Drosophila melanogaster: one gene and its partners. The protein of the gene in region 2 interacts with the protein of the main gene of each other region in a pairwise test. Each region holds a gene or a part of one and is shown on either strand. Other genes may lie near its edges. The genes, in order: heca, CG6023 and CG34453.

Region 1 (4,597 bases), on a different chromosome or scaffold from region 2:
CTTATGTACCCCAACCACATGCTGGGGAATTTCGCCACACAAATTTCGCTTTGTTAAACAAGTTAACCAAGTATTTAAGATGAAATTCTAGACAATAAGACTATAGCTCCTTATAATCTATATGGTTATCATGATGATATCTTGTACTTACCGCACTCGATCGGAATAGAGTTCGACCTCCTTGTTCTTCTGCTGCTGCACAAGTTGCTGCTGCTCGTAGCTGGCCAATGGCTTGAAGTTGCTGATATTGGCCAAAGCAGGCAGGTTATTCTGCTGCTGCTGTTGTTGTTGCAGCTGCTGCTGCTGCTGCTGCTGGGGAGCAATCAGCAGATTCTTGGACAAGCCCAATCCATTTTGCAAAAGGTTGCTGCCGAAAGCTGGACCCAGAGGCTGGATCAGCAGCGACTGCTGCTGTTGCTGCTGCTGCTGTGGCAGCAATTGCTGCACCGGCGACACGGATATCTCGCCACTGGACTGGGAGTCCGAGGGCGAGGTGGATCCACTGCCAGCTCCACTGGAGGATAGGCTGCCAGCCCTGGCGCGCAGGTCCAGGCCGAGGACATTGTTCGTATTGAGGATGTTGCTGAAAGTGGCCAGCGCACTGGTCTGCAGAACGCCGGAGGAGCCGTTGTTGCCACTGCTGCCATTGCTGGCGGTGTTGCCGTTGTTGTGGGGCAAACCCGACCCTATGACGCCCACATTGGGATTGGGCGTGAGTCCGGCGTAGCTGTTGCCGTTGTTGTTGCTCAAGGGGGTTTTGGTGTTGCCATTGACACCAGCACCACCACCACCGCCGCCGCCGTTGTTGTTGTTGTTGTTGCGGTTCCTCTTCTTCTTGGCCTTCTTCTTGTCGTCGTCCTCGCTGAGGCTGCCATTGGCCAGAGTGGGCCGGTTGCCAGACCCGTTGAGGTATATGACGCCCTGGCTGCTCGGCGGCACCCAGTCGAGGTCCTTGCGCAATTGTCCCCTGCCGCACTTGCAGCTGCAGGCCTTCTGGACCAGCTCGTAGCCCTTCTTGGTCCACAGGTGCTGCAGACGCTGCCGCTCCGACCAGGATCGAGCACGACCGTTGGCCTTCAGTGCCTGCAGCACGCTCGCCTCCCACCACTCGAAGCACTCGCGATGCATGTACTGGCCTGCGCTGCAGTTCTCGTTGTTGCACAGCACACGGATGCAGTCCGCCAGGGAGAGCTCGTTCAGGTGTATCAGGGTGTCCAGTTTGCGACAGTCTCCGCTGGGCAGGCAGCAGTGGACCATGCCCCCGCCGCCAACGCCGCCAACGCCACCGGTTCCCTGCATGGGCGCCATTAGGACGCCTGAAGAATTCACGTTCTCCGCGTAGAACTGCAGCAGTTGATGCTGCTGCGTCTGGTGCTGCTGCTGCAACTGTTGCTGGTGCTGCTGCTGGGTGCTGTTGCCGCTGCTGCTGATGTTGCTGTTGCGACGCGGAGCCATAAATTTGTGTTTTTTCCTCTTAATATGCACTCGTTGCGGCGAAAAACTTGGTTGGTTGGCTGGGTTGGCTGTCCTCGAGAATCCTCAATCTCTATTTCGAATCAGCATTTTGCCAACGATTATGAATTTCAAAATATTGCTTGTTGATTTTTTCGCGATTTTATGGTGCGATTTGCGGTCTATATAAATGCTGCTGGCATATATTTATTTATTTTTGAACCGATTCCAGAATATATTTCAACTGATGGTTTTGGCAGATCCAGTGAGTTTTCGTGAATTTTAGTGGGTTTTTGTAAATTTTTAGAAATTTTGCAGACAAAAGTCTGATTTTATACGGAATTTAATTTTTTTGTGTATAGTAAATGCTTGTTATTTTAGCGATTTAGTCTGTTTAGGTTTTAACTTTTCGGTTGCCTTTTTCAATTGTTTTCAGTTGGATTTTCCGAGTGGGTTTCTACCGAGATTGGTATTATTTTTAACTTGATGGGTAATTGCTTTCACTTATTGCTTTAAAAATTGTACACCTCCTTGCTGTGTGTATCAAAAATACTTCGAAAAATTCCCGTCAATGCAGTCTGTTGTGTTTTGCGTAATTTTCTGTTTTGTTGTTGTACCTGAGCTGAGTTTATTGTTGTTGTAGAACTTTAAGTATCAAAAATTGTTTTTTTTTTATTGTTTATCTTCGCTTCGTCCCTATCTCCCTCTCACACGATCGTTCGCTCTCATTCACACACGCGGCGCCATGTTCGGCAATTTTTCACATTTTGCTTCGCTTTCTGCGTTTATTTCTTTGCGCCTCTTATTTTTTTGCCGGCAAACAAAAAGGATTAGAGGATAGTGTAAATTTCCGATTGGTTTTTAGTCGCAGGACAATTGTAAACTGGAGTGTTCCTCTTCGATTTATTCGGTTTTGCTAGTTCTCCTGTTTTCCGTTTTTTCCCACCACGAGCGGCGCACGCAGAGAGAAGCCAAAAAACACAACCAACCAGATCGAAAGCGAAATTCAAACTGTTTTTGGTCTGTGCTTGCTCGCCGCGTTCGAACATCGCGCGTCGAACATCGCTGCCGGCGTCGCTGCTTGGCATTGGCAGCGAAGTTGGAGTTTTCCTCCACTCCGATTTTCCGCACTTCTTCATTCCGTTTTTCGGGGTTGGTGGGTGGTGGTTGGCTGGTTTTCACTTTCCACCACCGCCGCCAACCGCTCGCTTTTCATTCGGTGGAAAACTGAACAGATTTTTGGCGCTAAAATGAGAAATGGTGGGGGAAAATTGCGGAAGGGGCTACAAAAAAAGTGTCTAATTCACTAGAATTTTCCACTGTAGGCCAGAATTTGGTACATTTTCCCACTTTACAACGGAACTTTTGATAGCAGTTACATACTTGATTAGATTAAATGTCTTAAAAATATATGTAGGAGTTTAGACTTTTGTTAATAAGCTTCATTTCCATAGAAAATGTTTCTATCAAGCCGTATTTTCTTTAAACTAATAAGAATAATAATAACATGTTTCTAACTTTATAGCCAAAAAGGAATATATATTTCTCCCTATGTTTTGGTTCCAAAATTAAATGAATTCGATTATTATTAAATAATCTAAATTTAATTATTTATTAGAATTTTTAGATTTTACATCCATTTCATTTACAATTAGGAGCTCTCGATGATTCGCCAAAATTCACTTTCGTTGCGGCTCGAAGCTGGTTCGAATCAAGTTCGAAGCCGGTCGTTTCCCCTCCAACATGTTCGACTGCAGTTGCCATGCGAACGTCGAGCGCGTTGGCTCTGTTCCACATGCATGGAGCGTGCATATGTGTTTGTGCCAGAAACCGGCAAAGTAAACAACATGAAAACAGGGTTGCCGAGTCGCTGGAACTCGAACTTGCAGCGCACTTTTGCTTTCCGTGGCTAATCTTTTAATTCCAGTGGAAGTGGAAATGCCGTTCGATGTCTCCATCTCCCTCTGTCGGAACTGCCGTTCTCTGTCGCACGCTTCGATTGCTGTTATATATTTACATACAAACGTATCTATATAATCCCCTATATATTCGCAAGCACATTTGCACAAAAATACAAATACAATGAATGCATGCGAGTGCTGGCAATAAAAGTGGCAGAGACAAAAAGGAAGAGAATTAAAACATTGAACGAAAAAGAGTTGAAGATACCCTACCTTGAATTAAAACAACCAATTAAAACTTGAATACGCAGACCTATTACTGCTTTCAATTGAAACAAGTATGTACATATGTATGAATAATTGTAATAGTTAAATTGTTGATATTAGTCCTAAGATTACGAATATCGCAGGTAACTTTTGTATTATGACTACTTATTTGTGTTTTGACTGTAGGGTATTAAAGTTGCCACCAAAACCCAAATAAGCTTTCAAACGTAGAGCCTTTTTATTGTATCCTCGCCTTTGTGTATATATGTACATACACACATATAAAAATTCCCGCTGTGTTGCAAAAAAAAAAAGTATGCGAAAACGAATAAGAAGAAGCGGTAGAAATGGCAAAAAACAGGCACGTGTAGAACGAAAAGTGGTAAAGGGAAGGGATCTCGCAACCAGATGGGGTTTTCTTATAGGACTCAGGATCTCAGGATCCGGGGTTCTATTCTTTTGGTAACTGCGGTGCAAAGTCAAGGTCCAATTCCACTTATTTTCGAGTCAAACTGCGCAGTTTCCATTTTTTTCTCTCGATTTTGACCTGCCGGGTAGAAGAAGAGCGAGCAGGAGGGAGAGAACCAGAGGGTTCTGATATAATAATTAAGTCAGTCAGGTAGGCAGATCGGCAGCCATTGCGTAATAGGATCGTACGTACGAGTATATTTAGGTATGCATGTATGTAATTATGTATGTATAGGTTGTTTGTTGTTCTAGCTAAAGGATCGTCGGTGGAGAGGGTAAAAGAACAAAGGAGGGGCGAACTAGTTTGTTGTTGTTGTCATCGCCGCTTTATAATTCTCAAGGATTTCGCTTTGTGTTCTCTTCGACTCTGACCTAATTTTAATGACCAATGCATAACGAAAAAATAATAATAATAAGAAGAAGAAGATGGCATGTGTTCAAAGCGAAAAGGGAGAAGAGAAGAGGAGAGAGTCTGAAGCCGCGGGCAAAAGCTGAGCTCATAATTCTTC
Region 2 (4,597 bases):
AGAACAGTATAAGGAAGATTGCAGAAATAATCCTTTCTTGACTCTCAGATGATGCAAATTTAAATTGAAATTTAAGCTATTATTTATATATGATTTCCCGGTAGTTTATGTACTTTATATATAATATAAAATAATCAGTTATAATGCCATACAATCTGAAATTGTCTTCTGTGTGGCAAATTAGATCTAGAAACTGATTGATATATTGTTCATATCCGAGTTGCATTAAACACTGTATCTGTTTAATGTTAACAAATGTAACTTTATGAAAAATGTAACTTTGAAGGAAACACTATCTTCTGTCGCGTGTGCATTTGGCTAACGAGAACTTACACAATGAACTTACACGTGCATCTTGGTGGTATATTTGCTAAATTTAAATATTATATGCCTGGCTGAGGCGATAAGTCTGAGCGATATTTCCGTCGCTGTAAGTGTGGGATGTTTGCAGCTTTTTACTACGCTGAGTACTAAGTACTGTCGTACGTCACTCTGGAAGAGCTCATCAATGGAATGGTCATTTCTAAAAAGGGAATGGCAAACAGGAACGAGCGATAGATAGCGGATCTCCCTCAAACCGGATGACGTTGCAAGTTTAGCGAGTTCAGGCCGAGATTAGTGCGTGGCCAAAGTTAGCACCTCCTCGAGTGCGATAATTAACAGTCAACAATGCCTGGATGGGCGCAAAAAAAAAAAAAAATAAATTATAATAATAATAAAGAGGAGGAAATCAATACATATCGAATCAAAAGGAGAAGGCACCCATCTAGCGCTGAACAAATGCAATTCTGGACTGACAGCGGGCAAACTGCATTGGAAAACCCTTGGACATGGCCTCCAGCTCGAATTCCGGAAAAGTTGGCAATTATGGATCTGCCCAGAGCAATTGGGTAAAAACAAAGCTCGAAAAATTTGCCCAACTGATGAAATACTACGCAGAAAACTCGACAAGGGAATACGACTCCCATGAGCTTTGTGTCCCATGAGTGGGTTGAACTACGTGCGTCTTTATGAGTAATTGCTATGTCAAAGTGTGAGTGCCATGTTGGGCTAGGTTATGTGCTTGCTCGATGCACTGTGCACTACTGTGCACTGGCCATAGAAGAGACAGACACTCTGTCTGCCGGTTGCCGGTGTCTCTTATACCCAGTGCTCGATCAATTGGCCAAGTCCAGCGACCAGCGGCCAGCGGCCAGCGGCCAAGTGGCTATTGCCAGTCAGTTGCATGCAAAACGCGCACGTGCCAAGCGATCGATCGGAAATGCCTACGGAACGACGCGTCATTTGCCAGGCAAGTGGCACCCGCATCATAAATCGCCACTTAGTTAAAGTAAATACAGTAAATCGAGTAACTGAAGAATCCGAAGTGACGCCGCCGCCACAGCAGCTAAGAGACACGAGATATTCGCAAATTAATCAAAGTAAACGCGATTCCACTTTGGCTAATTCAGCCTGATGGGCATTGAGACCAATGTTGAATTTACATATAGCCATTACAATTTCCGGAAAGCTCAGTATTCAGGCATCAGGCTTATCAAATTTCGTACAAGAACAGTGAAATTCCCCATAAAAAATGTGTTTGTTGTCAAAATGTTGCCTCGAGCTTTTTGCTTTGGGTGTTACTCTGTTAGCTTGAACACTGAGTTTGGAATATGTATACCAAACAAATTCCAAGAATCTATCAAACATGTATTAATCAGCTAACAAACAGAGCAATTGGCATGTGTCGTTAAACAGTGACTAAAAGCCACTCATAGACAGAGCTAAACTAAAATGTTTGCAGTCGTCGTCCTCCAGGCAGGCAATTTAAATAAGGATTCAATGTTGCGATTGTAAGGTCAGCCTAATGCCAGTTGGCAACCAAGATGCCCGATTACTTGGTGTAGGGTGCAAGAATGCAATGCGACATCCGTTTTGGGCCATGAAGCGTGTGTGCATAAATTACAACGGTTGGCAACTCATTTGCCGCAAGACAGGAAGAAAACAAAACGTCATGTGCAGCGCTGCAACAGCGGCATGAACTACTGACCAGGGAGTAGCTAATCCCCGGCTGAGTCAGGAAGCCCATCCAAGCCAAGCCAAGCCAACCCACCCACTCACCCACTCACCCCCACCTCCGATAATTGAGAAAACCCAAATTCGAACTCCCTTTGCGGGCCGTTGTTTTTTTGATTCATTATCGTCATCGACCATCGGCCGCTGATGCTGCCGTTGCTGCTGCTGTGGTTGCTGCTATTGCTGCTCTTGCTGCTTGCTGTTGTTGTTGTTCACTTGTCGCTACAACGAGCACAACAAGTGTGAGTACCCGCCGCCCGCGCGCGTGTATGTGTGTGTGTGCGTAAAAAAAGTAAGCTCGGCCACGCGCTGCGCCGCTCGTGCGGCTTCGGCTACTGATATCGCCGGATGGCGGTCCGGTTTGTATTTAAATCGCCGGCGTGTGCCCCAACTCCTCATTAACCGTAAGATCTCGCAGAGCCCGCACGCCAGCCCCAGCTCTCCAGCTATCCAGCTATCCAGCTCTTTAGCGCGCTTTCAATCTGAATCTTGGCCAAATATCGAAAACCAATAAGACATACTCTCCGAACCGTGTGTGCCTAACATCACAAATCAAATCAAAATATGACCGCCAACAGCAGTGCCAGTGAATCCTTCGAGCTCCAATTCTTGGAGCGACTACAGCAGCAGCAGCAGCAGCAGGAGCAGGAGCAGAGTGCTCCGGCGGCGACAAAAGCGTCCTGCCAGCAGCAATCCAACATCATCGGTCGCATTTGTAAGTGTGCATTAAGATCTAGCGCCTCTGAATCATGTCGCTCTATCTGTATCTTTGTATCTATAACTGTGTCATCGCTGGGCAAACAGGAAAGTGCTCATCAAATGATAGGGATCTTGGGCATTGAAGTTTTCAATCATCATTATCTTATTGGCCAAGCCTGGGCATCCATCAGGATTAGGGAGATCTTTTGAACATCTTTGTATGAATCCTATTTACTGACCTTCCATCTTCTTGCATTGCAGCTACCTCCAAGTGCTGGCTCCTGGGCATCCTGCTGCTACTCACAGTCGCCACTAGTTGGCCAACGGGGACAATTGCCGCACCGCGTCGCGCTCGAGGATTGAGCCTGATTCTGCCGCACCGCAATCACGCACGACTACACCATCACCACCAGCACACCAGGTCAATAAGCACCAAGATCGTGCCCCTGTTAACCAATCAGACTGAAGGCAGGGAGCAGTGCACGGACCTTAAAATGACTCCCAATATCGAACACCTGCAAGTGGCGCTCGAGGTGGCCAAGAATACGCGGGAGGCGGTCCTCTGTCTGACCAAAGAATGGGTAAGTTAGCTAGAACGATGGACTTGCGGCAGCAGAGGCACTAAGTTTCCCATTTCCCATTTTTTTTCATTGCGAAACAGCTGAGGAATCAAAACCACACCCTGCCCCAAGATCTTCACTCCTACTCTCTGCATTCCCTGGCATTGAAGCATCCGCTCCAGTCGGAGGTCAAGGAAGTTAAGTTCCAGAACCAGCTGGGTGACTTTGTGTACAGTGGCAAGGTGACAACGCTGCAGGAGGAGATGCCGGCCATTATCGAGTCCCTGCTGGTCCTGGAGCATCTATACGAGATCATTGTGTTCGATCACCAGTCCTGGAACTGCTACTTCAATAACTTCGTGCATTTCTTCCATCACAACATGCACGAGGCTCTCAAGGTCGCCGGTCTCAACGATGCCTGCAATCCGAGGAACGCCGAGTACAATGCCGATCACATATGGCCGATGTTTGGCGCCGCCGTGGAGACCATCAAGGTGCTGACCATCATCGAGCACAAGTACGAGCAGCTGATCAAGCTGTATCAGTAATCCGCTGGACAGAGTTGGACGCTCCAGAGGAGCAGTAAAAGCCATACCAAAAATAATCGCCTCCGATGACCCACTGCAATCTCAAGCTAATAGGCTATGCCCACGAGTATCCAGATCCGTATTCGTCTACTAGACACCCTCATCTGCCTTAGACCCTATTATTTATTATAACTTATTAAATCCCCATTGCCCTCATACGTATTTATATCGCCTTTGCATCCTATTTATATACATACGCGTACCACCATACTCACTGAACACATTCACCGCATCGCAGGCTCGATAACTTATGAAAACTATTACTTAAGTGTATTTTTTTTATATATATTTACAATATTACAATGACTATTAATAAATTATACCGATAGGCGCATACGTGAAGTGCTTTTCTTTTCTGGTTGACCAATTTCATCATTCAGATGAAATTAAGTTACAACGAATTGGGGGCTTAGTCAACGGTGGGAATTCTGCCAACCTTTCGAAGGTCTACAACATCGATTAAAGCATGGGTGGTCATAAGATGTTTCCATGAATTGAAACAAGTGGAAATGGAACAAATCAAAGGTAGAGTTCAAAGTATAATTCTCAATTGCATAGCTAGCTAAGTAAATCGCTTAATACTTAGGGTTTTTTGATTTTTCACTGTTTTTTTTTTGGGGACTCGCGGGTTTATGACCTCCAATGCTTGAAGTTGGCAACCCAATTACCACTCCCCCAAATCGGAAATACTGGGGA
Region 3 (4,331 bases), on a different chromosome or scaffold from region 2:
CCTTAAGTAACGCTTCACCGGATGAACAAAGCGAAAATGAGAGAAGTGGCGAACCAAATTTAGATTTTAAACGGTACGTATACTCATGCACTTGTGTGCAATATGATATATCTAATAATACCTAAATCAAATCGTAGGACAGAGGTGCAGAACCCCAGACATGGCGCAGGCCGACCAAAAAAGTTGACAAGAAAAAAGGAAAAGTTGTATTGCATTTGCCGTACTCCATATGATGACACAAAGTAATGCAGAAATGCATATTCTTAACGCGCTTTTAATTAATATATTGTAATTGTGTCTATGTAGGTTTTACGTGGGGTGCGACTTGTGCAGCAATTGGTTCCATGGGGATTGTGTCAGTATTACCGAGGAAGCTTCTAAAAAACTATCGGAGTTCATTTGCATTGATTGCAAGAGGGCGAGAGAAACGCAACAGCTTTACTGTAGCTGTCGTCAACCATACGACGAGTCACAATTTTATATATGCTGTGATAAATGCCAGGATTGGTTTCATGGCCGTTGCGTTGGAATACTTCAGAGCGAAGCAGAGTTTATTGATGAATATGTTTGCCCTGAATGCCAACGCAAAAACGATGCTAACGCTGCAAATATGAAGAAACTGACTTCAAATGACGTTGAAGAGCTGAAAAACTTAATTAAGCAGATGCAGGTAATAACCTGAAATTCATAATAATTTTTATTTATTATTAGGGACCTTAATTAAATAAAATTTAATTTTGTGGGAATCGTTATTCTGTGTTAGATAAACGAACAAATCGTTTATATATTGATGGCATCAAACATGTTAAAATACGGTAATGTTTGTAAAATTGTTGAAAAAATATTACAAAGTAACGAACAGAACGAAAGTATTATAAGTTCAAGACCAAGTGAATCAAATATCCAATTCGTTCATTCGTTTCACATTCATTTCTGGCTAACGAAAAACTCTCAACTGTAGCACATCAAAAATGGAATAAATATTAAATTTCCCTACAGTTACACAAAAGTGCTTGGCCATTTATGGAACCGGTTGATCCGAAGGAAGCACCCGATTATTACAAAGTGATTAAAGAGCCAATGGGTATGTAACACAAAAAATAAATTTATTCGAAAATAAATAAAATGGGGATATTTTTTTCTATAGATCTCAAACGGATGGAAATTAAACTCGAATCAAACACCTATACCAAACTATCTGAGTTTATAGGCGATATGACAAAAATTTTTGACAACTGCCGTTACTATAACCCAAAAGAATCATCCTTTTATAAGTGTGCTGAAGCACTAGAGTCATACTTTGTGCAAAAAATTAAAAATTTTCGCGAAAATGTTTTTGACCAAAGAACATAAGAAATAATAGCCCTTGAAAACTTTAGAACAAATGATTATAGTTTATAAAGACACTTCTAACAATTTGAAAAACGTCCTTCAGTTATGTATTCTTATTTTGAATCAAATGTTATATAAACATATATTATCAATAAAAACACATATAATTAATTATAATAAATTATGTACATATTGACCATATTTAGTAACGTACACCAGTATGCAATAAATTTCATATTCACCAGACATTTGTAAGATTAAAAATAATTAAGTAAAACCCCCTTTGTACAAAACATTAAAGTGTAAATAAACAGCATGCATTTCATTTGATATCCTTATCATATGCTGTAGGTTTAAACTTAGGCGTATGTAACTTGTAAAAATACAAGCTTATAATAAATGTTCAGCATATTTTGAAAATAACTTGCATTTATTTAGTCTTTGGTTTGTTTACTGCTCATTGGACTTTTAAATTCACACCTACTCAGCAAAAACAAAAATATACCTTAAATAGCTTATTAATATTATTAGACGGATTCTTTGCACTAAAATAACAACAAAATCCTCATTTGTTGATCTGCATTGAAATTTTTGTAGGCCCTTGCATAGGGTATATTTTGTAACAGTCCGAAATTTGCTTCGCAATGAAGGTACCCTTTATGATCACAAACTATATTCCTATATTCTTGATCAATATCAGCAGACGATGCGACATAACAAAGCCCGTCCGTCAGTTTCTACGCAATCCAGTCTCTCAGTTTTAAAGCAGTTATACATGGAACTTTCCCAAAAGTCTTCTTTCGGTTGCAAATGTCACTATATAACGTAGTCGTTACTAGACTGTCCAGAAGTTGTTTATTCTACGAGTAATGGGTATAAAAATACTAATTAACTGGTTGCCATGGCGAGCGTGCGCAGAAAACGGGTTTATTAAACAAAATTATTGACTAGTTAAACATAATAAAACGATGGAACCTGCTAAAGTGATTGGAAAGCTGTAAGAGTTCAGCACATCTTATTAAAATATGAATAGCAGATATTATTAACAATTTTAGAAAGGAGCAAGTGCGCATGGAGCACAATTCGCGTCGTAGTTTTCCAAAAGCTTGGAGCGAAATTTCGGGCAAGCAAACTAACAAGTTCTACCACCAATCTGAGATTAATTCTCAACTAAGTAACCAGCTAAAATTAAAAGGTATATTTACATAGAGGTTTATAATTGTGCACTCACATACTCTACCCTATAGACCTGTGCCCTTTTGTGCACAACAACCAAGGCGAATCGCGATTCGTATCTCCGGAGATGTACAAACCTTTACTGGCCGTCTGTCGCTGTGGGCGAACTAAGGAAAGCATCCATATGGGAAAATGCTTACAAAGAGCCTTGAGTCCAGATTACAAGCAAGAAATGGTACAGAATGGCACTGATGCATGGAGTGCAGAACCATTTAATGTGCCTTCCACTTCAAGCTGTAAGTAGTGCACCTACATTTAATTGTATGGGTACAACAATATAAAGAGATTTTCAGCTACCATTGGCTTCGCAGCTATTTCGAAAAACTACCAAAAGCTGGAGCGTTCTATGCAATATGTTTCTCCTGCGTTTTCCATGCCTGGCCCTCGAATTACAGCAGTCCCTTACTATAATATTATTATTGGATAAGTCATCACGAATTTTAAAGTTTCTTGTTGGTCATTTCCAACCCATATTTTTGATGAATCAAATCTGGGATTTCCCTAGATTATTGCAAATATAAGCACATGATAATAAACTTAAAATTGATAGCGGGCATCGTACAGAACTGGATTTTCCAGACGATTGACTGCTTTAGAAACCTGTATTCAGTGGCGTTCCCATATCTTATTTACTACTTTGTATTTTGATTCACTGAATTAAAACTTTCCAGTATATGTGAAGTTCCTTATGCTTAGTGCAGCTGATTCTTGTGTTGGTTCAGTTTCCCTCGATCAGCGAACGAAAGCACATACGACTATAAGCTTCAGGATTCAGTTAAAGATGTGCATCAATTGGCATCCAATATTTATTTTTGCTTGTTTAAGTCAGTTGGGCGCAGCCCAAGAACCTTTAATTTTCGAAACATCTCGTAGCCCATGGAACAATGCCGCCGCAACGACGTCAATACCAATTTCGCCCACCAGCGCAAACTTAGTTTTGGTTAACAATGTAAGAATACCAGGAGGTCTTACACCATTTGTACCAGCACCGGCCCCAACCAAGGAATTTCTGAACTGCTTTGGTAACTGTCCCACCACATCGCAATACAATCCCATTTGCGGCAGCAATATGCAGCTTTATATGAACGAGGAAAAATTTAATTGTGCTCGTTTCTGTGGAGCTGGTGAGTCCATTATATCCATTATATTATTATTTTTTAATCGAAAATATACTTCACTATTCGTTTTTAGACATTCAAATAGTTCGAAGAGGTTCTTGTGAGGGTCTTTTTGCGATGACGCGAGGTTGATATGCAACAACCAGCTATTTAATGTAATAGATTAATATACTCCAACTAAGATATTTTCAGTTTAAATATTATTATGGCACAGAGATAAGACGCCACGCAGTACATAACAACGCAAAATAATATAAATAAAATAAATACATACTAATGCAAAACAATCAAGATAACCTTGACGCACTTGTAGAAAATTTCGAAATGGATTCCCAAGACAGTTCCGTTCTGAATTTCAGAGAGAATACTTGCAAACATGGAGGCGATTTATCAATTGGTCGTAATCTTAGGTACATTATATACATAAATATATTTTATTCTGTGTGAAAGCTCCTTCTAAAATATCCGTTTTCTACTCAGCTATTATTTTTGGGCATCTGCAGTTCCAGTCCACGGTGTTAGCTGACCCTGCTTTTCGTCGCCCAAATGCCATCGCGCCCGCCCGCACCTATAGCGGTGTATACAACCACTCGACGATTCACAGAGCTGTCGAAAAGTCCAATTTGACTGCCCCGGCGGTTCACC

Evidence for each region.
Region 1: the proteins of CG6023 (region 2) and heca interact in a two-hybrid assay, tested with the Drosophila melanogaster proteins (one large-scale study listed by BioGRID).
Region 3: the proteins of CG6023 (region 2) and CG34453 interact in a two-hybrid assay, tested with the Drosophila melanogaster proteins (one large-scale study listed by BioGRID).

The regions. Positions count from the first base shown.
Region 1 is NT_033777.3:30,275,802-30,280,398, reverse strand, and holds the start of heca (headcase), read right to left. Parts: upstream 2,468-4,597; 5' UTR 1,456-2,467; coding exon 152-1,455; intron 1-151. UniProt on the Drosophila melanogaster protein: Required for imaginal cell differentiation, may be involved in hormonal responsiveness during metamorphosis. Involved in an inhibitory signaling mechanism to determine the number of cells that will form unicellular sprouts in the trachea.
Region 2 is NC_004354.4:18,313,755-18,318,351, reverse strand, and holds CG6023 (uncharacterized protein), read left to right. Parts: upstream 1-2,450; 5' UTR 2,451-2,619; coding exon 2,620-2,770; intron 2,771-3,015; coding exon 3,016-3,335; intron 3,336-3,415; coding exon 3,416-3,862; 3' UTR 3,863-4,228; downstream 4,229-4,597.
Region 3 is NT_037436.4:231,321-235,651, reverse strand, and holds CG34453 (uncharacterized protein), read left to right. Parts: upstream 1-2,300; coding exon 2,301-2,329; intron 2,330-2,387; coding exon 2,388-2,527; intron 2,528-2,579; coding exon 2,580-2,804; intron 2,805-2,861; coding exon 2,862-2,995; 3' UTR 2,996-3,172; downstream 3,173-4,331. Other genes in the region: E(bx) (enhancer of bithorax), read left to right, coding at 1-73, 138-242, 307-670, 1,000-1,084, 1,148-1,353; CG34454 (uncharacterized protein), read left to right, coding at 3,350-3,692, 3,760-3,818; CG42846 (uncharacterized protein), read left to right, coding at 4,063-4,096, 4,167-4,331.